4 linked regions of the Saccharomyces cerevisiae S288C genome follow. The protein of the gene in region 1 purifies or fractionates together with the protein of each later gene. This does not show direct contact. Each region holds a gene or a part of one and is shown in the gene's direction. Other genes may lie near its edges.

Region 1 (7,662 bases):
ATGACCAAGTAGAGTCTACTTGATTTTCCTTCAGCATGGTAATAAATTCCTTCTCTGCTTCTTCTTTAGTCCTTCTCCTGACATTAAGCAGTTTAGAGTTATTAGCATATTGGCTTTCCTCCTCGTTTATAGTTCGTCCCGGCTCTTGTTTTTCTCCAGCCGTAAGGGCTATTCTATTTCCATTAACCTGTGCATGGGATACTGTATCATGTTTTTGTTCTGCGATGGGTTCTACTTTCTTCTCGAAGGCCGGAATAGTCCAGCTGGTTTCTCTTGTTGTTGGATTATAATAGTATACTTTGCCGTCTGCCGTCTTGGCCGCCTTCCAGCCATTTTCTCGAAGAAGTAGCTCCTCCTGAGAAATTAGTTCCTTGGGCTTCTCCCACGTAGATTTCTTTGTCAAAGTATTGTAATAATATATCCTTCCACTTGCATCTTTAGCTTCCTTCCAAATAGACATAGTTTCACGTCTCCCACCTCCGGCAATGCTTGTCTAGTGGTCGATCTGGCTTCAGACCTTGTTATCCTGATAGGTAGGCACGCTATTGCGATGTCATCAACTGCCAGATTTCCAAGTACATTATTATTGTCGATAATTTCATATCGTTTACCACGTCGCCCCTTTTGTATAGCAAAATACAATTATAGAACAAAAAAAGCCTGTAAAGCCAAGCAAATAGAGGCTTTCGGAACAACTCGGTGTCACTTTGACAAAAGATAAAAGAGGAAGCAACTGATAGTAGGAAATGTCACAATCATTACGTCCGTATCTAACGGCTGTTCGTTATTCCCTGGAAGCTGCGTTGACTTTGAGCAATTTCTCTTCGCAGGAAGTGGAGAGGCACAACAGACCGGAAGTTGAAGTCCCTAACACTAGCGCCGAATTGTTGCTCCAACCGATGCATATATCTCGTAATGAAAATGAACAAGTATTGATTGAGCCCAGTGTAAACTCGGTGCGTATGAGTTTAATGGTGAAACAGGCAGATGAAATTGAGCAGATTTTAGTTCACAAGTTTACTAGATTTTTGGAACAGCGTGCTGAAGCATTCTACATTCTGAGACGTGTACCAATACCTGGCTACAGTATTTCTTTTCTAATAACTAATAAGCATACTGAATCAATGAAAACTGGGAAATTGGTTGATTTTATTATTGAATTCATGGAGGACGTGGATAAGGAAATCAGTGAAATTAAACTGTTTTTGAATGCCAGAGCAAGATTTGTTGCGGAAGCATATCTTGATGAATTTGTCTATTAGATTCCTAATATAGGAAAGGGAATCTTTCTCCGTCAGGGCCCTATTGACGGAAAACTTTACGATCTGTACTGACTGTGTTAGTTTGCGTACTCAATTGAACTATTTCGAGACTATTTAGTTAGATACAATAACATGTGTATGTGAATTAATTATAAACGTACTTTTAAATTGCAGTTACTTTGTATAATTATGGTGATTTTTTTAGTACTTAAATTATATTCATAAAAAGGGATTAAAATGTTTCTCCCGACACCTAAAATTAAACTTCAATCTGTCAATTCTAACACAAAACGTTTTCATTTTACGTAAACAAATGAAGATTGAAGATTCTAAAGCATTTATTATTACTGCCGCACTAGTATACGACCAAACTAAAATTATATGATAATAGTGCACCAACATATAGTAAACAGCTTTTACCTATGCACGACTTGCATGAGGATTTCAATATTATATCACTGTAGACGAAATATGAAAAATTTCAGCAATAAAGCTCATCGCAAAGAATAGTTCGGTTATATTCTTGATTGGATATTATTTCTCTAATCTATGCGGTACTACTTCATCTAACAGAACTAGAGGAGCACTTACATAATGAGTAATCATAGCGAAGCCTATGGATCTCGCGACCAGAGAAGGGAGAAGTACACCCAAGGGAAAGAGTTCGAAGACGGTACATTAGAAACACTAGAAAGTATAATCAGTGCAGTCGAAGATGAAACTCTCTCCAAAGATTACCAACCTCTAATAGTGTTCTTCCAAAGAGGATTTGGTGCTCAATTGGTACAGACTTGGTCATATTATGCTCAAGTAAATAACCATGGGAAATTCTCGAAAACTACCTCATTACTGACTAAAACCTTACGAGTTTTGTCATCTGATACTAGTACAGTGACTATTGGGAGCGGTCTAATTAGATTGATATTGACCGATTACACAAAAGTTCTCTATAGAGGGTTGAACAATATGCGTGCGCAATTAACTAATCCAATTCTTCGTCTACTCAAACAAATAGTCAATTTCAACAATGGGCAACATATAGAGGAATTAGTTTCATATTTCGATTTTTCATTACCTATTTTACCAAGACTGTTGGTACCAAGCAAGTCTGAGTTAGCCAATGGGAATTCATCTGCTGATTCATCCAAACATGACTCATTAAGATTTACATTTATCAAGTTTTGGTTGACATTGATCTCAAATGCTTCCCCATTCGTGAGAAAAGAACTTTTGACAGAAAACTTTAAGATTATGAGCAACCTATTTAAATTCATGAATAAGGCTGATTCTGACAAGTTATCTGAGCACATACTATCGGTATTCATAAACGACATTTTAAAGGAGAAATCCTTCAAGAGAACTACTAAAACCAAAATTTTAAATGAACTAGCGGCTTCAAAGATTCATCACTTTTATTATTCATCAAACAAGAATTTGGTTAAGAAGGCAAATGAGTTTTTCTTAACTTTTGGAGCTTCCCGTGACTTTAGCGTAGCATTTCCTGATAATTGCGTTTGGTTCAAAAATTCAGTTGCTGATGGAGCTTCTCATGGAGCTCCGATAACCGTCAACCAAGTGGAATTTCAAATTCATAATAAACTTTTGTTCAACACTTTACGCCTTTTCAAACCTTGGGAAGATACGCTGCAATTAGGTACGTTGATCAAAATATTGGAGAACGTTCCCGAACTTGTTGCTCCTTACAGCATCTTTTTAACGACGAATGGTAACTATGACCCTAAGATGACTTCGTATTGGTTTGGTATAACGTTACTGATTAACAAGATTATTAATCTTAAGATACCGCAATTTATGGAGAAAGTTGATAGCAATATTCCACCTGCCACTTCATTAGTTATAGAAAACATTCTGCCATCTTTGCTCACCAAATCCTCGTTGGTTAAATCCCTACAATTTGAAACACCCATCATAAGACAATTAGCCTGTCAATCAATAGTTCTAGCGTTAAAAAAATTAGAAAAAGTTTCCACATTTTATGATCAAAAAGGCTGGAGAAATGAAAAAACTATTTTACTCAACGAGTTTCATACTAGAATTCCTGATTTACCAATCTTCGTATCTACTTTGAGCAATTCTTTGGCTTCCAATAAGGATAATAGAATTTTACCTCTGTCCATATCCATCATATTCAACTACTATAGTAAAATGTTCCCCAACCTCTTCTCAATTAACCTACCATCATCAAATATTTACACAGATATCATGCAAAAATCCAAGATTTCTGGCATAGAATTTGCTATTCTGGACAACTACTTACAATTTCAAGAATTTAACTCTACTCAAACCAGGTGGTGGAATCCAAGTTCTGGTGGAAATTCTTTATTCACCCTACTATTAAAGCTAGCATCCTCCAAAAATGCTTCTAACGTGATAACTACAAGAATATCCAACTTGCTCGATGAGCTGACGAGAACAAACGTTATCTTCAACATATCTTTAATTTCACCAGTGATGGCTTTAGTGAATAGTCTTCAAGGGCTTTCCCTTCAAGTTTCTGAAATTGACAACATGGAACAAGTCTGGAAGTGGTTTGACGAAACTATATCTCGTGTCGTAAAAACACCATACAAGTACGTCGATATGGCAAAAGAGTATAACTACATTTCTCCCTTCATAATGTGCCTTTCAGAGCAATGGAAATACGTTGACAAGAGTGGAAACCCAGAGTTTTTAATTAAATGGCTTATACTTTTTCTTAGAAACATGATTTTCATTGGTGAAGACCATATAGGCATAGATAAACTTGTTAAAAATGTCTTTCCTGAGGTCTCTGATCATGATGTTAATATATACTTGAAACTTGACTCATTTGAAGAAAACATAAAGAAAACTAATAGCTCTAATTCTTTAATTTCTTCAATGAAGAGCTCATCTTTTTTCCAGTATATTTCGGCGCTTCCATCTAAAAATCTAATGAATATTTCTAGATTACCAGTGAACAAATTAGATGCGGCAGGAATCCTTTTTAGAGTTCAGTTATTGGTAGAAGACGATTCTGTTGTATATGACAATTGGTTCGAAGCAACTGCCTGTGAGTTAACTGGCAAGATTGCTAGCTACATGGTAACAGACACAGAATTCCCAATTATCAAAGTTTTGGAAAGGTATATAAATTTCGCTTTACCAAAACTGGCCATTGAAAAAAGAAATGCTCTACTCATGAAAAAATCAAGGTTCATGTGCAATTTAATCGGTGCAGTATGCTTTGAAACAGGCCATCAATTAGTGGAATTCCGAGAAATAATTCAAAAAGTCGTGTTTAGTGGTGAAAATGTCGAAGAGTATGCCAACTATAATGAGTTGTATCAGAAAGAAGATGTAAATGCTTTCTTAACAAGTGTTAGTGAGTATTTAAGTACTTCAGCTTTAACTTCGCTACTCATGTGTAGCACCAAACTAGAGTCCACAAGAAACATTCTCCAAAAATTATTCAACGAAGGAAAAACTATAAAAATATCCCTTGTAAAGAATATACTGAACAAAGCTGCAAATGAAGATCCTGCTTCAATTAAGGAAGTAAACATCTCTTTGGCTAAATTTTTTGAAGAAAACAAAGTTTGTGTTGATGCTTCATCTGATCCTATGGGTAAGCTATCCCTTTCAGAAACTACTTCTCTGATAAATAGTTTTGTGTCTAGTGATTTGAATTATCTAGTACTGAAAGCTTTTTACAGATGGGAACATTTTTCTTTCCCATCTTTCATACCAAGTATCTGGAGGATCAAGGATTCACCTTTACTAAGTATTGTAACAACGGCTGCTTTGTTCAAGCACATGCAGGATAAAGATTTTAGCGCATTTGCGCATGAAACCATTTCCAAGTATGGTAATGAAATTGCGAAAAGTACTTACACTACCTCGAAAAGTGAGATTTTTGACGAAATATTAAATATGATTACCACTTATATTGATTTCTATGACGAAACGAAACGAAATGAAATTTTGAAATGTGTTTTATCACAGAGCGACCATAAATATCATGCTGCTACAGTAAGATACATAGCTGCACACAATAATTTTACTTATCCAGGGGTAGAAACATGGTTACATAAAACTCTTCTTTACCTTACAAAGTACCTTTCAGAAAGAAAAGTTATCTCCAATTCTTTTTTTGAGTTACTAAGAGCGATGGCTGAGCTCTTAAAACTTGAAGAGGTACCAAATAAGTTGAATGTCAAAATCATTAATTCTCAATTAGAGGCTATTCTAGGCAGTGAGTGGATCAAACAAATTAAGGTTCTTGAATACGTTATTGTATTAATTTTTTGTGTGAGCAAAAAGTCAATTCAATCGCAAAGAATGGTTCAACTTTTATTAAGCAATGACAGTTACTCATCAATAATGATTAAAGACAATGATGAAGATTCATCGTATCGAAAGTTCTTAAGCACAATGATATTATTCTCTTTATTCAGCATCGACCCGGTCGTAAATTCGACGCCAATAGTTCAAGAGAAATTATTGACTTTTTACTCCGGTACTATTTCCAGTAACGACAAGTTGATACTGAAAATTCTAGAAACTATCGAATCTCACACCGCTACTTCATGGACAAACATGATTTTTTCTTGGGAATTTATCAAAGACGAAGAGGAAGAAATCTTGGAAGCCATTGGAGACACGAGGCTGATTACCAAAGAAAGGGAGGGGTTGATACTAACACTACAAAAAAACATGATCAAAAAGTCCATTGACAGATACGTATTGGAAAGGCCTCAAGTCCCTGAATTATATACCGATTCTAATACAAACAATTATGATGCTACTACAAGGTGTGACCTAGTCAAAAAGTACTACGATGATACCGAACGATCTGGTGTTGATATGTACGATCCATTATTTTTACTGCTATTAATAATCCATAACAAAGAGCTGGTAAAAATGGTCAAAGATGACGAGGGCAATGTAACATACAGATATGAATTTGAAAATTTCCTTGATTGCAAAATATTTCAGTTTATTATTTGCTCATTAAGCGATTGTCATACCGTTGCCAATATAAGTTACGAACATTTATCAAATTTAGCTTCTTCTTTGGAGAAGAAAACTGCCCAGATGAATCTTGAAAAGCAAATAACTAGCAAGGATAATGAAAGAAAAGAATCTGATAGCGATTTAATCAAATATAATAGCATTTACCAAGTGTTGATTAAAAGGATTTTATACCAGAGACAACAAAATCAAGATCCTATCAATCCGTTAATTTGGTTTTCTATCTCTAGAATTGTTGATCTATTGGGAAGTCCAACTGCGCCCTTACATGAGAAGGCATACCGCTGGGTATTATCAAATTCTACCATACGTAGTTGGGACATCCCTATGGTATCTGATGTGATGATGTCCTACAATAAGAGACAACAAGATGACAATAAGAAAGAAATTGATATGGAAATATACTATGGAGAATTGAGTTGGGTTTTAACAACCATTTGTAAGGGAATTAAAACGGATGAAGATTACAAGATGTTAGAGAAGAAAGGTGTATTTGAATGGTTGTTAAACTTGATCAATATGCCATACTTGAAAGAAAGATTACGCGAACTAATCTATTTTATTTTTTACAAAGTCCAAAGGGTAGCAGATGATGGTGGTTTGAATTTAATTAGCAGAAACGGTATTGTGTCGTTTTTCGAGGTTTTGAACAATAACATCAAATCTAGACTACCACAGGACGATATACTGAACAACATTGGTACTTTACGGAACGAAAACAGAGGTACATTAAATACTACTTTGAGGTTAGCCCAAGAACAAAACGGAATTGAAAAACTACTATTAGGCTACAACGAGCTTGTCAAATCACAAAAAAGGCTAATATTATGGACAGAAGGTGATAGCGACAATGTTGTCAAGAGGCTACGTAAATGAGCTGTCTTGTGATAGATATTTTAAATAAGATTTGAAGAATTAAATGTCCACTTTTCTATATAATGTGCGAAATGTATAATATATGCATAAGAAAACAAAGAAATCAGTATTTTCTTCTTTGTCTTTGTAATGGTGTTATGGTCCTAAATAATCAGTAAAGTCAATTTCACTACCAGCAGCTGCAGTTGGATCCATAGTATTTCCCAGCCACATTGCTTGATCAGTGATTTCCTTCCAAAGTTTTTCATCGGAATGATCAATATTGCCTAAATCCTCCAACAATTGTTGTAAATCGTCATCATTTAGATTATGAACGGAATCCAACTGATCCATGTTTTTTTCCATCACCTGAGAGCCCTTTTCAGTTAGCGTGGTTTGGTATGAATTTTCCAAGCTCGCAGTTATGATATCAAAAAAAGTAGAAGGTTCCGAGTTATTGACGTTAATATCATTAACATCATTATTACCATTACTATAATCAGTCAGCGTTGGTTTCGCGCCTTCCGGAAGT
Region 2 (4,396 bases), on another chromosome or scaffold:
CTTCTAATATATTTAGAATTGGCTCAACCGAGCCTGGTGCAATGCTTGTTGACTCATTTAGTTTACTGGAGGATCATGCACCCAAAGCAATTGAAATATTAAAGAATTTTGTCTTAGAGAAGGGTGTACTGGACTGTATTGCTGCTGCAATAGACGAATTTGAACCTAAACTACAGAAGATGTTGTTGAACGCTGCATCTTATGGAAAAGCTTCTTTGCAGTACAAGTCATTTGACGCTAGTATATTTGTGAATGCGTGTAATACGATAAAATTATTAAACTGCTTCAGAAGTTTTGGTATTTTTTTGACTGTGGAGGAATACAGGTGTATTTCTTTGAAAGGTGTCATTGATAGGCTGTTGAAGTATCACAGATATTATGAGTGCATACAGATATGCAAATTGGCCAATGAACGATTTCTGTTAGGATACGTGTTTACTGAGTGGGCAAAGGATAAAATCAAGGGTAGTCCTGACATGGAAGATGATGAGTTACTAGACAAAATCAAATCTCGACTAAGTGTTATAGATATGACGGATACATTACAAATGGTAGCAGTTGCGAAAGTTGCATATCTTGAAGGAAGGTTCCAGTTATCCCGTAATTTAGCTTTATTAGAGAAAAACGAAGAAGCTAGAATTGAGCAACTGTATAATCTTGATGATGATAGTATAGCGCTAAAGGAGTGTATCAAAGTACAAAATTACAGTCTGACAATTTCATTACTGATTGCACTTTCCAAAAAGCTGACAAACTCTCAACTGACGAAGCTTTTGATCATTGATATGTTCAACAATCCCTTATATCTCTATTATATGAGAATGGATAAAGCATACTTGTACGATTTTTACCGCCAAACTGACCGATTTATTGACTTGGCTCACGTATTACTGCAGCAGGGAAAAGAACAGCAATCTTTACACAGCTTTTTACCGCAAATTAAGGACCTTTATAGCCAAGTTCAAAACAGTGAAGTGGTCAACAATACAATAGAACAACTTCAAAGACAGGAAAAGTTGTGGATATACCAAGAATCATTAGGCAAAAGATTTGCTATATCATTCACTAATATGACTTTAGATCAAACGCTTTCGAAGTTAATAGAAACAGGGCAAGATAAACAGGTGAAAGAAATAGTTAAAAAGTTCAAAATAAGCGAAAAAAAGCTGTATCACCTGAAATGTAAAACGTTAGTCGAAGCTAAGAAGTTTGACGAACTACTACAGTTTGCTCAGTCGCGGAAATCACCAATTGGTTACATGCCTTTCTACACATACTTAAAAAGCAGAGGCCATATGGATAAAGCTAGTCCTTATGTTAATATGATACCTGGCCTTTCGTATCAGGAAAAGAAAAAGCTTTATGTGGAGTGCAGGGGTTTTCGTGATGCAATTCAACTAGCAGGAAAGGAAAAAGACATTCCAGGCTTAAAGGAGATATATAATATTATACCACCTAATGAGCCGGAATTAAAGGCATTAGCAAATGAAACTATGAGCAGGATATAGAACTCATAATTTATAGACGTTGTGGATATCTAGCCGCATATCAAATAATTAAATGCTGCCATTACGTTTGTGCGGTTATATATGTTGGCTCCCTATAGGGTTACCCATGGAACGGCGAAGGAAAAAAAAAATAATTTTCACTGAAAAATTTCAAGAGTCTATCTCATCTCATCGTTTATTCTGAATTAAATACTACATACAAAATCTTTTTATTAGTAAAATAGTGAGATTTCTTCGTGAACTAGTGAAAAGCTATCAATATTACCAATCTACCAAAGTGAGATGGAAGAAACAATAGAAAATGTTGAAGTGCCTTCTAGTAATGTCTCAAAACAAAATGACGACGGCCTAGATATGAAGACTTTGTTTGTGAGGTCTATACCCCAGGATGTCACAGATGAGCAGCTGGCAGATTTCTTTTCCAATTTTGCTCCGATCAAGCATGCGGTAGTTGTTAAGGACACGAATAAAAGGTCCAGGGGCTTCGGGTTCGTTAGTTTTGCTGTAGAGGATGACACAAAAGAAGCCCTAGCTAAGGCCAGAAAGACCAAATTTAACGGACATATCTTGAGGGTAGACATTGCTAAAAGAAGAGATCGTTCAAAGAAAACATCAGAAGTGGTTGAAAAGAGCACACCTGAGTCATCTGAGAAAATAACGGGCCAGAACAATGAAGATGAGGACGATGCTGATGGTGAAGACTCCATGCTAAAAGGTAAACCGAAATTAATTATCAGAAATATGCCATGGAGTTGTCGTGATCCAGTTAAATTGAAAAAGATCTTTGGTAGATATGGTACCGTCGTGGAGGCTACCATTCCAAGGAAGCGTGATGGTAAATTGTGTGGATTTGCGTTTGTTACTATGAAGAAAATCAGTAATTGTAGAATTGCTTTGGAAAACACCAAAGACTTGAAAATTGATGGTAGAAAGGTGGCTGTTGATTTTGCTGTTCAAAAAAACAGATGGGAAGATTACAAAAAAGCCCAGCCAGAAATGAATGACAAAGATGATAACGAGTCAGGAAATGAAGATGCTGAAGAAAACCATGACGACGAAGAAGATGAAAATGAAGAGGAAGATAGACAAGTAGATCAAGCTTCAAAAAACAAAGAATCGAAACGTAAAGCACAAAACAAAAGGGAAGATTTTTCTGTTTTTGTTCGTAACGTCCCTTATGATGCCACTGAAGAATCTTTGGCTCCGCACTTCAGTAAATTTGGCAGCGTTAAATACGCATTACCTGTTATCGATAAGTCTACGGGGTTGGCTAAAGGTACGGCCTTTGTAGCCTTCAAAGACCAATATACATATAACGAGTGTATCAAAAATGCGCCTGCGGCTGGCTCTACCTCTTTATTGATAGGTGATGATGTCATGCCTGAGTATGTGTATGAAGGTCGTGTTCTGTCCATTACTCCAACGTTAGTAAGAGAGGATGCTGGAAGAATGGCAGAAAAGAACGCCGCCAAAAGAAAGGAGGCCCTAGGTAAAGCGCCAGGCGAAAAAGATAGACGTAACTTATATTTGCTGAATGAAGGTAGAGTTGTTGAAGGCTCAAAAATGGCTGATTTGTTAACCAACACTGACATGGAGATCAGAGAAAAATCTTACAAATTAAGAGTGGAGCAACTGAAAAAGAACCCATCTTTGCATTTGTCGATGACTAGGTTGGCTATCAGAAATCTTCCTAGAGCAATGAATGATAAAGCATTAAAGGCGTTAGCTCGTAAAGCTGTCGTGGAATTTGCTACAGAAGTTAAAAATAAGGAAAGACATCCATTGAGTAAAGAAGAGATTATCAGATCTACAAAGGAAAAATACAAGTTCATGGGTCCAGATGAGATTGAAGCTCAAAAAAAGAAAGACAAAAAAAGTGGTGTTGTCAAGCAAGCAAAAGTTATAATGGAAGTTAAAGGATCAACTGCGGGAAGAAGTAGAGGTTACGGTTTTGTAGAATTCAGAGATCATAAAAACGCTTTGATGGGCTTAAGGTGGTTGAATTGTCATGCCGTTACCTCCGATGAAATTTTAGAGGGTTTGAATGATGATGAAAAGAAACAAGTAGACAATGACTTAGGCAAAGGAAGACGTCTTTGTGTTGAATTTGCGATTGAGAACTCTAACGTCGTAAAGAGAAGAAGGGAACAATTGAAGCAAGCAAGAACCAAGAGAACAAGACCAGATAATGAAGATACTGGAGATGTCGGAGAATCCGAGAATAAGAAGCCAAAAAAAGAAGAAGCAACGACGCCCACCAATCCCGATGACAAAAAGATGGGCGATGATATAAAGAGAATAATCGGGTTCAAGCGTAAGAGAAAGCACGCAAAAAAATAGAGGTAGAACCATATTTATAGGAATTTCGATTTGTATTCTCTTTACGTATGTACATTATTTTTCAAAGAGTAGATAGATGAATCTCTAACGTACTCGAAAGCTTTTATGTCGTTATTTTAGTACTGTTTTACGAGAAGCGCGAGAAACTCTCTACATATACTGTCCAGCATCTCAGTAAATCATACTGAAACCTTATTACCAGTATCGCTCCTAGACGTTCCGTTTGAAGTAATAGGCAAGACGAGAATTATTTATTTCCCATGATATACATAATGGTTATAAGTAGACCGCAAATAAAAGTATGTAAAATTAGCTATGTTTCTACATTGTTTGTGCAATGACTTTTAGGTTCGGCTGGTCATTAATAACTAGGTGATGCTGAATTCACGTATCTTATTAGATACATTTAGAATTCATGACTTCTCCTTTGTATGAGCGTGTCCCTCCTTTTCTTGATGGTTTCAGCCCTTCTACATACTACACAATGTACTTTGTTAACCGATGATAACTCTACTTTATACGTAGTTTAGACTTTGAACGGGATGAAC
Region 3 (4,589 bases), on another chromosome or scaffold:
GTCAAAGAGTATTCCATTGGGAAATTTTTTTTGTCTTGCGGATCGCTTTGATTCATTTTAGAAAGAGCCTTAATCTTGTTGTATGTTATATGCTGAAGAAGAATGTTAAGTTTGAAGCTCTATTTGCAGGGCAAAAGATGATCACTTGACTTTATACGCTTTCGTTAAATAGCTTAACCACGCGCTGAAAACTACTATGAGCCCAATGCCAATAAAATGATCAAAGGCGTAAATGAAACCGGTACTGTGTAATAAGCGGAAAAAAAAAAAACAGTTAATTGTTTCAATCGTAATACAAAGCGAAAACCTTTAGTATATTAGTTTTATATGAGCAGTAACTCTTGTTATTCTCCTTCGAACACTGTTCATTTGCTCATCTTTTACTTAACGTTTTTACACATCTTTCTATATTGTATCCCTTTATGAAAAACTTCCAGGCGGTGTCGGCTCGCTTAGAGGGTAATACCAAAATTGTTCAACCCAGGGCCGTCGTTAACCTTGATTCTTTTGGAAAAGCTACTCGGCTGCGGTGGAACTACCTGCAATTGATACAAACAATAGTACAACTTATTACTTTGATGGCTATTAAGCATTATGAGCCCGATAGAGCCGAGGAGGTTTTGTAACAGTGTTTTGTCGCAGTATCTTGAGTGCGTCACACAGGCTTGTGGCAGAACAATAAAGATGTAGCCTTGCGGCTTGAGAAATTTGACCATGCGATGGCACATTGCACCGCGATCCCTGTGATTTTTGACAAAATTTAGCACTAGAGAGCATGATATCAGGTCGAATTTGTCGTTTTCATTTCTCGGTAGCGGTCTTTCCATAAAATCCTGCTTAATAACGCCTTCATGTTCCTCTAAATCTATACGAACCACATTTCTAAAAAGTGCACAACGGGATATGCGATTTCCGGAGCTCAATGAACCAATTTCTAATGCCACTGCTCCAGGACAATTTTCAAATGAGGACCTGATCCATTTCTCGAGCAACTTGGACGTGTCTCCTCCTCGTTCCTTCAATTGCCCGTTTTGACTGGCAATTTGGTAAGTTTCTAGTCCTCCCAATTTATTAATCTGATTCATTATGTAACCAAGTAATGTGTACATCACAGCCAAGTCAGAAGTATCCTTTGATTTGGATTCATTTTTAATTAATGAGTGCAGCCTCAGTAGTTGTGATTCCATAGCATCATTGAAGGACTGCGATTTGCCGTCTTCATAGTACTTGCCCAGTCTTACATTACCTTTAATACTTAACCTGATAATTTTGTCATTCTTCTCCTCGTTGGAATCATCTAGGTTTTCCTTAAGGCATAAAAACTTGCATATCGATTGACGCTTATTAATTAAATGGTGGAATCTTCTTATTATCCTTCTTGTCTTCTGTGGCTTGATTACTCTCGTCACGTTACTTCCTACTTGCTTCCTCTTGCCCGTAATACTCTTCGACTTTCTTGAATGCATTCCGCTGTATTAGTGGTATCGCTAAGCTGATACAAGATTGCCATCAAGGTCATGGCTAGCTCATCGATATTATAATTGTTATATTTTTTTTCACCTCACAAACCCGCCTCAAGGTTAGTTAGTCCGTACTTTTCTTTTTCTCTGAAAAACTTTTCCAGCGATGAGCTTATAAGAATTTCCATCTAAAAAAGTTATATTCGCCAACCTGCCCATCATTATCATCATAACCTCAGGTAGAAATTCTTTAGTCAAATACCGGCATAATCAGTTTTTCCATCATGGGTAAGAAAAGGGCTCCTCAAAAAGGAAAAACGGTCACAAAGCCACAGGAGATAATTGTAGATGAATCCAAATTGAACTGGAAACCAGTAGATATTCCGGACACTTTAGATGACTTTGGTGGATTTTATGGCTTGGAAGAAATTGACGGAGTGGACGTTAAAGTCGTGGATGGTAAAGTAACTTTCGTCACCAAAAAAGATTCAAAAGTGTTAAAAGATAGCAATAAGGAAAAAGTCGGAGATGATCAGGAATCTGTGGAAAATGAATCAGGGTCAGATTCGGAGTCCGAGCTCCTTGAATTCAAGAACTTGGACGATATTAAAGAAGGAGAGTTGAGTGCAGCATCTTATTCATCATCCGACGAGGATGAGCAAGGTAATATTGAGAGTTCAAAGTTAACCGATCCCAGTGAGGATGTGGATGAGGATGTGGATGAGGATGTTTTGAAAGAAAACGTCTTTAACAAAGACATTAATATCGATGATATTTCTCCTGTAAATTTACCTGAATGGACGAATCTTGCACCTCTCTCAATGACTATTTTGCAGAGCTTGCAGAATTTAAATTTTCTCAGACCTACAGAAATTCAAAAAAAGTCTATTCCAGTTATTATGCAAGGCGTAGACGTCATGGGGAAAGCCTCTACAGGTTCAGGTAAAACTTTAGCCTATGGTATTCCAATTGTAGAGAAACTGATCAGTAACTTCTCTCAGAAAAACAAGAAACCAATATCGTTAATCTTTACTCCTACAAGAGAACTGGCGCATCAAGTCACAGACCACTTAAAAAAGATCTGTGAGCCTGTTCTAGCGAAATCTCAGTACTCGATATTATCTTTGACAGGTGGACTCTCTATCCAAAAACAACAACGTCTATTAAAGTACGATAATAGTGGCCAAATTGTCATCGCAACACCAGGTAGATTTTTGGAACTGTTGGAAAAAGACAACACTTTAATCAAAAGATTCTCGAAAGTAAATACGCTAATCCTTGATGAGGCTGATAGGCTGTTACAAGACGGTCATTTCGACGAGTTCGAAAAAATCATTAAACATTTATTAGTAGAAAGAAGGAAAAACAGAGAAAACTCCGAGGGCAGTAGCAAAATTTGGCAAACTTTGATCTTTTCTGCAACATTCTCCATCGACTTGTTTGATAAGCTATCTTCTTCCCGTCAAGTTAAGGATAGAAGGTTTAAAAACAACGAAGATGAGCTAAATGCCGTAATACAACACTTAATGAGCAAAATTCACTTCAACTCAAAGCCGGTTATAATAGATACAAATCCTGAGTCAAAAGTGAGCTCTCAAATCAAAGAATCCTTAATTGAATGTCCTCCATTAGAACGTGACCTATACTGCTATTACTTTTTAACCATGTTCCCAGGTACAACTTTGATCTTTTGTAATGCCATTGACTCCGTGAAGAAATTGACCGTATACTTAAATAACCTAGGCATCCCAGCTTTTCAAATTCATTCTTCCATGACACAAAAGAACCGTTTGAAAAGCTTAGAAAGGTTCAAGCAACAAAGCGCTAAACAGAAAACAATAAATCATTCGAATCCGGATTCCGTTCAACTCTCAACAGTATTGATTGCAAGTGATGTTGCTGCTAGAGGTTTAGATATTCCGGGTGTTCAACACGTTATTCATTACCACTTACCAAGATCTACTGATATTTATATTCATAGATCAGGCAGAACTGCAAGAGCAGGTTCTGAAGGTGTCTCTGCCATGATATGCTCACCTCAAGAATCTATGGGCCCATTAAGAAAGTTAAGAAAAACTCTCGCTACAAAAAATAGTGTTTCGACGGATTTGAACTCTAGATCAACTAACAGAAAACCCATCAAGTGGCAAAACACTGTGCCTTTGTTACCAATTGAAACCGATATACTTTCACAACTCAGAGAAAGAAGTAGATTAGCAGGCGAACTGGCTGATCATGAAATTGCTTCTAATTCCCTAAGAAAAGATGACAATTGGTTAAAAAAGGCTGCTGATGAATTAGGTATTGACGTTGATTCCGACGAAGACGATATATCAAAGAGTAATTCGGACACTTTCTTACTAAAAAATAAAAATAAAAAAATGCAGAAGACTATAAATAAGGACAAGGTAAAAGCCATGAGAGCTACGTTGAACGAATTGTTATCAGTGCCTATACGTAAAGATAGAAGACAGAAATATTTGACAGGTGGGCTAGTGAATTTAGCTGATAACTTGGTCAAAAAAAGAGGTCATAATTCTATCATTGGTCATGAAAAGACAAACGCCTTAGAAACTTTGAAGAAAAAGAAAAAGAGAAATAATTAATCTCGAGGCTTTTGAAGAGAAACTCTCCTTTCACTGTATTTTCTACGTAATATACACGGTCCTCTAAACCCACTATGTACTTTCAACAAAGGAATTAGCTCAATATAGAGCAAAAGGTTTACCAAGTATATATTATATTGTACAAAAAATTAAAAGCGAATTTAATTTAAATCTGGCATCTAGTGATTAAATTCTTTTTGATTCGATTTTTTTCTCCCCCTTTTATTTATTTAAATGAAATCATAGTCGGATCCTTCATCTTCGTCATAATATTCATCCTCAGATTCATCAACTAGTTGTTCAAAATTAACTTTGTAACGCAGCATGGCACCAATACCACCAAAACCTGTGACAAATTGGGCACCTTCTGAAGATTTGTCTGTGATGAATTCCAAGGTAGCACCGAAGTTTTTGTAGTTAGCTGCTAGCCATTCAATTAAAGGTTCTTCGGAGACAACGTCCATTTCTTGGCCGGTAGCTTTGTCAATAGCAAACGACTTGTCCTTGGCTTCTGGTTCAGCGA
Region 4 (5,586 bases), on another chromosome or scaffold:
TATATCATTAGCTTTATTATCATTTTTCATTTTTTTTATGCTTTTCCTCCTTTAAAACAAGACGCTTTATTCTCTATATTCTTCCTTGTACATATTTTCAATAGCGGTTCATATTAGGCTCATTATGAGAAAAGGTTGGTGAGAAATTTAGCATATTTTAAACAATCATTTAGCTAGATGAATCAGAATGTTTTTCCGACAAATAGTAGCTCGCGTGGCGTAATGGCAACGCGTCTGACTTCTAATCAGAAGATTATGGGTTCGACCCCCATCGTGAGTGCTTTGTTTCTTCCGTGATAGTTTAATGGTCAGAATGGGCGCTTGTCGCGTGCCAGATCGGGGTTCAATTCCCCGTCGCGGAGAATTTTTTTTAATTGATAGTAGCAGGTACAGGAGAAAGAGTAAATAATAGAAAGCAAGGTACGTGATGGGAATTGATCAAACTAATATCGCTATACCTATAAGAATTTGCGTGTTTGTATACGTAAAGAATATATAATATATTGATGTGTGCGCTGAGGAAGGTAAGTCTACACAATTTATCCGTTAGCCCAAATTAATCAAACAGCATATTTTTTAGTCCACTCCTTAGCGGTGGCTTCATACTTAGCCTTATCTGTCTTGTAGATTTGAGCAATTTCAGGGACCAAAGGATCGTCGGGATTAGCATCTGTTAAAAGAGAGCAAATAGACAACAAAACTTTTGAAAGGGTTAGCGCCGGTGACCACTGGTCCTTTAAAATATCAAGGCAGATATTACCACTCGAATTAATATTCGGATGATAAATTTTGGTCGTAAAGTTTACCTTCGGTGGCTTGAATGGATAATCAGTTGGAAAGTGAATAGACAAAAAGAAAACGCCACCAGCGTAGGGTGAGTCTGAAGGACCCATAATAGAGGCTTGCCAATGATACAGGTCATCCCCTACAGGTCCTGCTGAACATGAAGCAGGAGGATCTCTTCGGAAAAAAGTTCAAAAAAGAAACTCATGTTAGTAATCCTTTTTCTTTACAGATCAAGAAAAATCATTCATTTTATTTTTAACATACCTCCCTAAATCACTTAATTCCTTGGCAATACGCTTGGAGGAAGACATTTTTAGTTTAGTTGAGGGTGGTGAGCAGAAAATGACTTTTCAAGATGGTAGTCAATAAGCAGTCCTGACCTTGGAAAATAAAACTCCAACCATCTATTAAAATCCGGGATACAATTATTTTTTATAATTTTGGGTCGGCTATCTTTGGTACAAATGAGTAAGGCGGCAGCCGCTTTATTACCCGCTCGCAGTGGCAACTACCTCCACCACAGCCATGCTTCAAAAGCGCTTGCTACGAGAGTTTACACCGTACTAGCACTAGCAATACATCTAGATATCTAATTGAATTACGCACAATATAAGAAAAATCGGTTTATGAGCCTAATGAATGAGTACCAAAATAAGTAGGCAAAAAGTACAGCCTCTCATGGAACAATGAACACAACCCTAGTATAATTCATCTGTACTTTGGGACTTTCTGTGTAAGTAAACCAAGACATAATTTAATATATTTGAGAAATCTATCCTTATCCAATTGGTTGTTGCAGATGATTTCATATAAGCAAAAATGTTGGTATAACTTTCACCACATGCAATAGCAGATCTTTTGTATAACGCGTATTGCCCAACATAATCTAAGATCAGATCATTAATAAGAAAATCTCATTTCCAAAACCGATTGGACATATACTGTTTAGTAATAACCGCCGATATGATGTTCTTCCGTTCTCTTGCCTCTGTATTCCGTTACCCGTTGCAGAATGAAAAATTTTTTCTTTTGGCGATGAGGTAAAAAATTATCAGAGATGCCAAAGTAATGGAGTTGCGAATAAGAAAGCATTATGTCGTACACATCGGAAGCGAAATTCTATAGTTTGATAAATTTCTATAGATATTAAACCTCTCCAGTGTCTTTGTTGGTACAGTAATCAAAAATAATGAGTGAGAACAACGGCAATCCGCTGGATTTGTCTTCACTAAGAAATAAGATTTCGTCAAAATTGCGAGACAATAACAGCAAAAAGGCGAAGAAAACCCACAAAGGCAAGGACGTGAAGGCCAGTAGTAATTCAAAGAAGGTAAATGAGGACATACGTCGTGAAGCACTAGCATTGGGTGCCAGCGAAGAAGATCTAAAATTGATTCAAGGATTAAGCGATGATGATGACGCTAAGAGCGAACAGGAATTTGATGCCGTCGCTGACGAGGATGCTGACGACAAGGGATTCAAGAACGATCTTCAAAATTTCATGAAGAATGTAGGATTTGACCAACACAAACTCGAAGATGTAGACGATGACGATATAGAAGAAGAATCCACTAGCTCCAAAGAATCTAAAATACCCGCTCAAGAGAAGGAACATGCACAATCAAACATTGCATCATCGACAATAGAGAAAACCTCCCAAGAGTCAATCGATAATGGCAGTGAACAAGAAGAAAACACAGTAGAAGAGGCTAATCTTAGTTCAGACCAAGAGCCAGAATCAGAATCTGCAGAGAAAGAAAAGAAAGAGGAGAAAGATGGAGGTTTAATTACTCAAACTACTATTATCTCATCTGACAAACTTATTATTCCTTACGATAAACCATGGTATGAAATTCCATTGGATCCTCAAGTTGGACAAAATGATGATGTTGAAGAATTATCCAAGGAACAGATTGAGAAACTTTTTGAAAGAGGTAAGCAAACGCTAGAAGCTGACAACCAAACTTACTATGAGGAGTTTACAAAGGACTCATCGCAGGCCAAGTTCATGTCCCAAATCCTATCGGACGGTACCCTCAACGATAAAATATCTGCCGTAACTTTACTCATTCAAGATTCGCCATTGCATAACACTAAGTCTTTAGAAACTCTGGTTTCATATTGTGGCAAAAAATCGAGAAACTCTGCTTTACAGAGTTTAAACGCTTTGAAGGATTTATTCTTAAATGGTCTTTTGCCCAACAGAAAGCTGAGGTATTTCAAAAATCAACCTGGCTTATCTATGATGCTAAACAAGAAAACTCTTGCAATTTTCTATTTCGAAGATTATTTAAAGAAACTGTTCTTTCGTGTTTTAGAAGTCTTGGAAGTGCTTTCCCACGATCCAATTATTCACGTTAGATTACAAATATTAAATCATGTATTTGATTTATTGACCAACCAACCAGAGCAGGAATTTAATTTATTGAGATTAGGTGTAAATAAAATTGGTGATATTGATTCCAAAGTTTCTTCGAAGGCGTCATATTTACTACTGAAGTTGGAACAAGCTCATCCGAATATGAAATCTATTGTCATTGATGCTATCGTTGATATCGCATTGAGACCGAATGCGGATTATCATACCACTTACTATTCTGTTATTACTTTAAACCAAACCATCTTAAAAAGATCAGAAGACTCTGTTGCTAATAAATTAGTAAAAACATACTTCACTTTGTTTGAAAAATTCTTGATTAATACTGATAAAGACAATACCAATGGCGTTGTTAAGAGTAACTCAAAGTCGTATGAGGAGAAAAGAAAGAAGAACTTTAAAAAGGGTAAACACGGTGGTAAATCTGTAAAAATCGAAAAAACGGAAAATGAAGTTTTAGATGAAAAGAACTCAAAATTATTCAGTGCTTTGTTAACAGGTATCAATCGTGCATTCCCATTCGCTCAGATTCCAGCGTCTGTCTATGAAGTACATATGGAAACTCTTTTCAAAATCACACACTCCTCTAACTTTAACACCTCAATCCAAGCATTAGTTTTGATTAATCAAGTCACCGTCAAAGCAAAGTTGAACAGTGATCGATATTATAGAACATTATACGAAAGTTTATTTGACCCCAGACTGGTGAACTCTTCTAAGCAGGGTATTTACTTGAATTTACTATACAAATCATTAAAACAAGATGCACTCAACGTTGAACGAGTAGAAGCCTTTGTCAAGAGAATTCTTCAAGTTTGTTCTCATTGGTTGAACGTCGGCACCATTACTGGTTTTTTCTTCTTATTAATCCAGTTGGCTAAAACAGTTCCACAAATAAAAAATCTTCTAACCAACACGCCAGTTGATTACGAGTATGAATCTGATGCAGAAGAGGAGCAAGGGGACAAGGACATAAAAAGGAAGGAATACGACGGCCGCAAGCGTGATCCAAAGTTCGCCAATGCTGAAAAATCTTCTTTATGGGAAATCAACAACTTCATCAATCATTTTCATCCTACTGTGAAAACATATGCAAACGCCTATGTGACAGGAGAAACAGAGCAAATAGCTAAACCAGACCTGGGTCTATTTACTCTATCACACTTCCTTGACAGATTTGTCTACAGAAGTGCCAAGCAGACCAATACAGCAAGAGGTACATCTATTATGCAACCTCTGTTTAGTGGCTCACGAGTTAATGACTCTGTCTTAGTTAAGGCATCTGATATTATGCATGACCAGGGTCCCGTGAACACTGAAGACTGGCTAACTAAAAAAGTTGAAGATATCAAACCTGAAGATAAATTCTTTTATCAATATTTCACTACCAAGAAAACCGCTGATGGAAAAGGAAAGAAATCTAACAAAGCATCTAATTTCGATAGTGATGACGAAATGGATGAAAATGAAATTTGGAGTGCTTTGGTTAAATCGAGACCAGATGTTGAAGATGATAGCGACGACAGTGAACTTGACTTCGCTGAAGATGATTTCAGCGATTCAACTAGTGACGATGAACCTAAGCTGGACGCAATTGATGATGAAGATGCTAAAAGTGAAGGCAGCCAAGAAAGCGATCAAGAAGAAGGCCTCGATGAGGATATTTTTTACAGTTTCGATGGAGAACAAGACAATAGTGATAAAAAACGTTCCTTCGCTGAAAGTAGTGAAGAGGACGAGAGCAGCGAAGAAGAAAAAGAAGAAGAAGAAAATAAAGAGGTATCCGCAAAAAGAGCAAAGAAGAAGCAGAGAAAGAATATGCTCAAAAGTCTACCGGTATTTGCATCTGCCGACGATTATGCTCAATATTTAGATCAAGATTCAGACTAGAAAATAATAATACATTAACTAAACACTTCGGTGTTGTAAATTAAATAAGGAAAACAGAATTTTGTACAATAAAAAACGGTCCAATACGAAACCTTGAAGCGAAAGACGCATATCAGAGTTTTGCTGATAACTCTACTTATGTCCGCTTTTCAACATTATTAGAGCGGGAGTAAACGGAAAAAGAGTAATGCGGAAATAGAAACGGATTTTAGCTACAACTATGTCAGTTGAAATCGCCGAGATTGCTGACATCGTGAGACGAAACTAAAAACGATGGAACCACGTGACTCCTATTAGAAATAAATAATCCAGAACTCATTTTTAACCATTTTGTTTATATAGGCACATTTGTAGCGACAATTTTCTGTTAGCTAATTGCAGTAAGCAAAACAAATTTGTGAATACTTGATTAATATTCTGTGAAAGATTTTTTAATTATGAGTACCAATAAGTTCGTTGTACGAATAACGAATGCGCTCTTCAAGTCATCACTGGCTAGCAACAGTCCACCTGTTTACCCTAAGAGGATTAGG

What was found.
Region 2: the proteins of URB1 (region 1) and NOP4 purify together in Saccharomyces cerevisiae (affinity purification with mass spectrometry; 3 studies listed by BioGRID). This does not show direct contact.
Region 3: the proteins of URB1 (region 1) and MAK5 purify together in Saccharomyces cerevisiae (affinity purification with mass spectrometry; 4 studies listed by BioGRID). This does not show direct contact.
Region 4: the proteins of URB1 (region 1) and MAK21 purify together in Saccharomyces cerevisiae (affinity purification with mass spectrometry; 3 studies listed by BioGRID, with this or other methods). This does not show direct contact.

The regions. Positions count from the first base shown.
Region 1 is NC_001143.9:411,108-418,769, reverse strand, and holds URB1 (Urb1p), read left to right. Parts: upstream 1-1,856; coding exon 1,857-7,151; downstream 7,152-7,662. Other genes in the region: snoRNA-splicing protein PRP40, read right to left, coding at 1-460; ARC19 (Arc19p), read left to right, coding at 747-1,262; PUT3 (Put3p), read right to left, coding at 7,287-7,662. UniProt on the Saccharomyces cerevisiae protein: Required for 60S ribosomal subunit formation and pre-rRNA processing. Required for normal accumulation of 25S and 5.8S rRNAs.
Region 2 is NC_001148.4:468,149-472,544, forward strand, and holds NOP4 (mRNA-binding ribosome biosynthesis protein NOP4), read left to right. Parts: upstream 1-1,790; coding exon 1,791-3,848; downstream 3,849-4,396. Other genes in the region: tethering complex subunit VPS16, read left to right, coding at 1-1,508. UniProt on the Saccharomyces cerevisiae protein: Required for 60S ribosomal subunit synthesis. Probably involved in the processing of 27S rRNA to produce mature 25S rRNA.
Region 3 is NC_001134.8:526,573-531,161, forward strand, and holds MAK5 (ATP-dependent RNA helicase), read left to right. Parts: upstream 1-1,744; coding exon 1,745-4,066; downstream 4,067-4,589. Other genes in the region: GTPase-activating protein IRA1, read right to left, coding at 1-56; BMT2 (25S rRNA (adenine2142-N1)-methyltransferase), read right to left, coding at 453-1,466; SUP45 (translation termination factor eRF1), read right to left, coding at 4,297-4,589. UniProt on the Saccharomyces cerevisiae protein: ATP-binding RNA helicase involved in the biogenesis of 60S ribosomal subunits and is required for the normal formation of 25S and 5.8S rRNAs. Required for the maintenance of dsRNA killer plasmid.
Region 4 is NC_001136.10:568,674-574,259, forward strand, and holds MAK21 (RNA-binding ribosome biosynthesis protein MAK21), read left to right. Parts: upstream 1-1,975; coding exon 1,976-5,053; downstream 5,054-5,586. Other genes in the region: TGL2 (triglyceride lipase), read right to left, coding at 1-30; E2 ubiquitin-conjugating protein UBC5, read right to left, coding at 561-960, 1,051-1,097; YDR061W (uncharacterized protein), read left to right, coding at 5,491-5,586.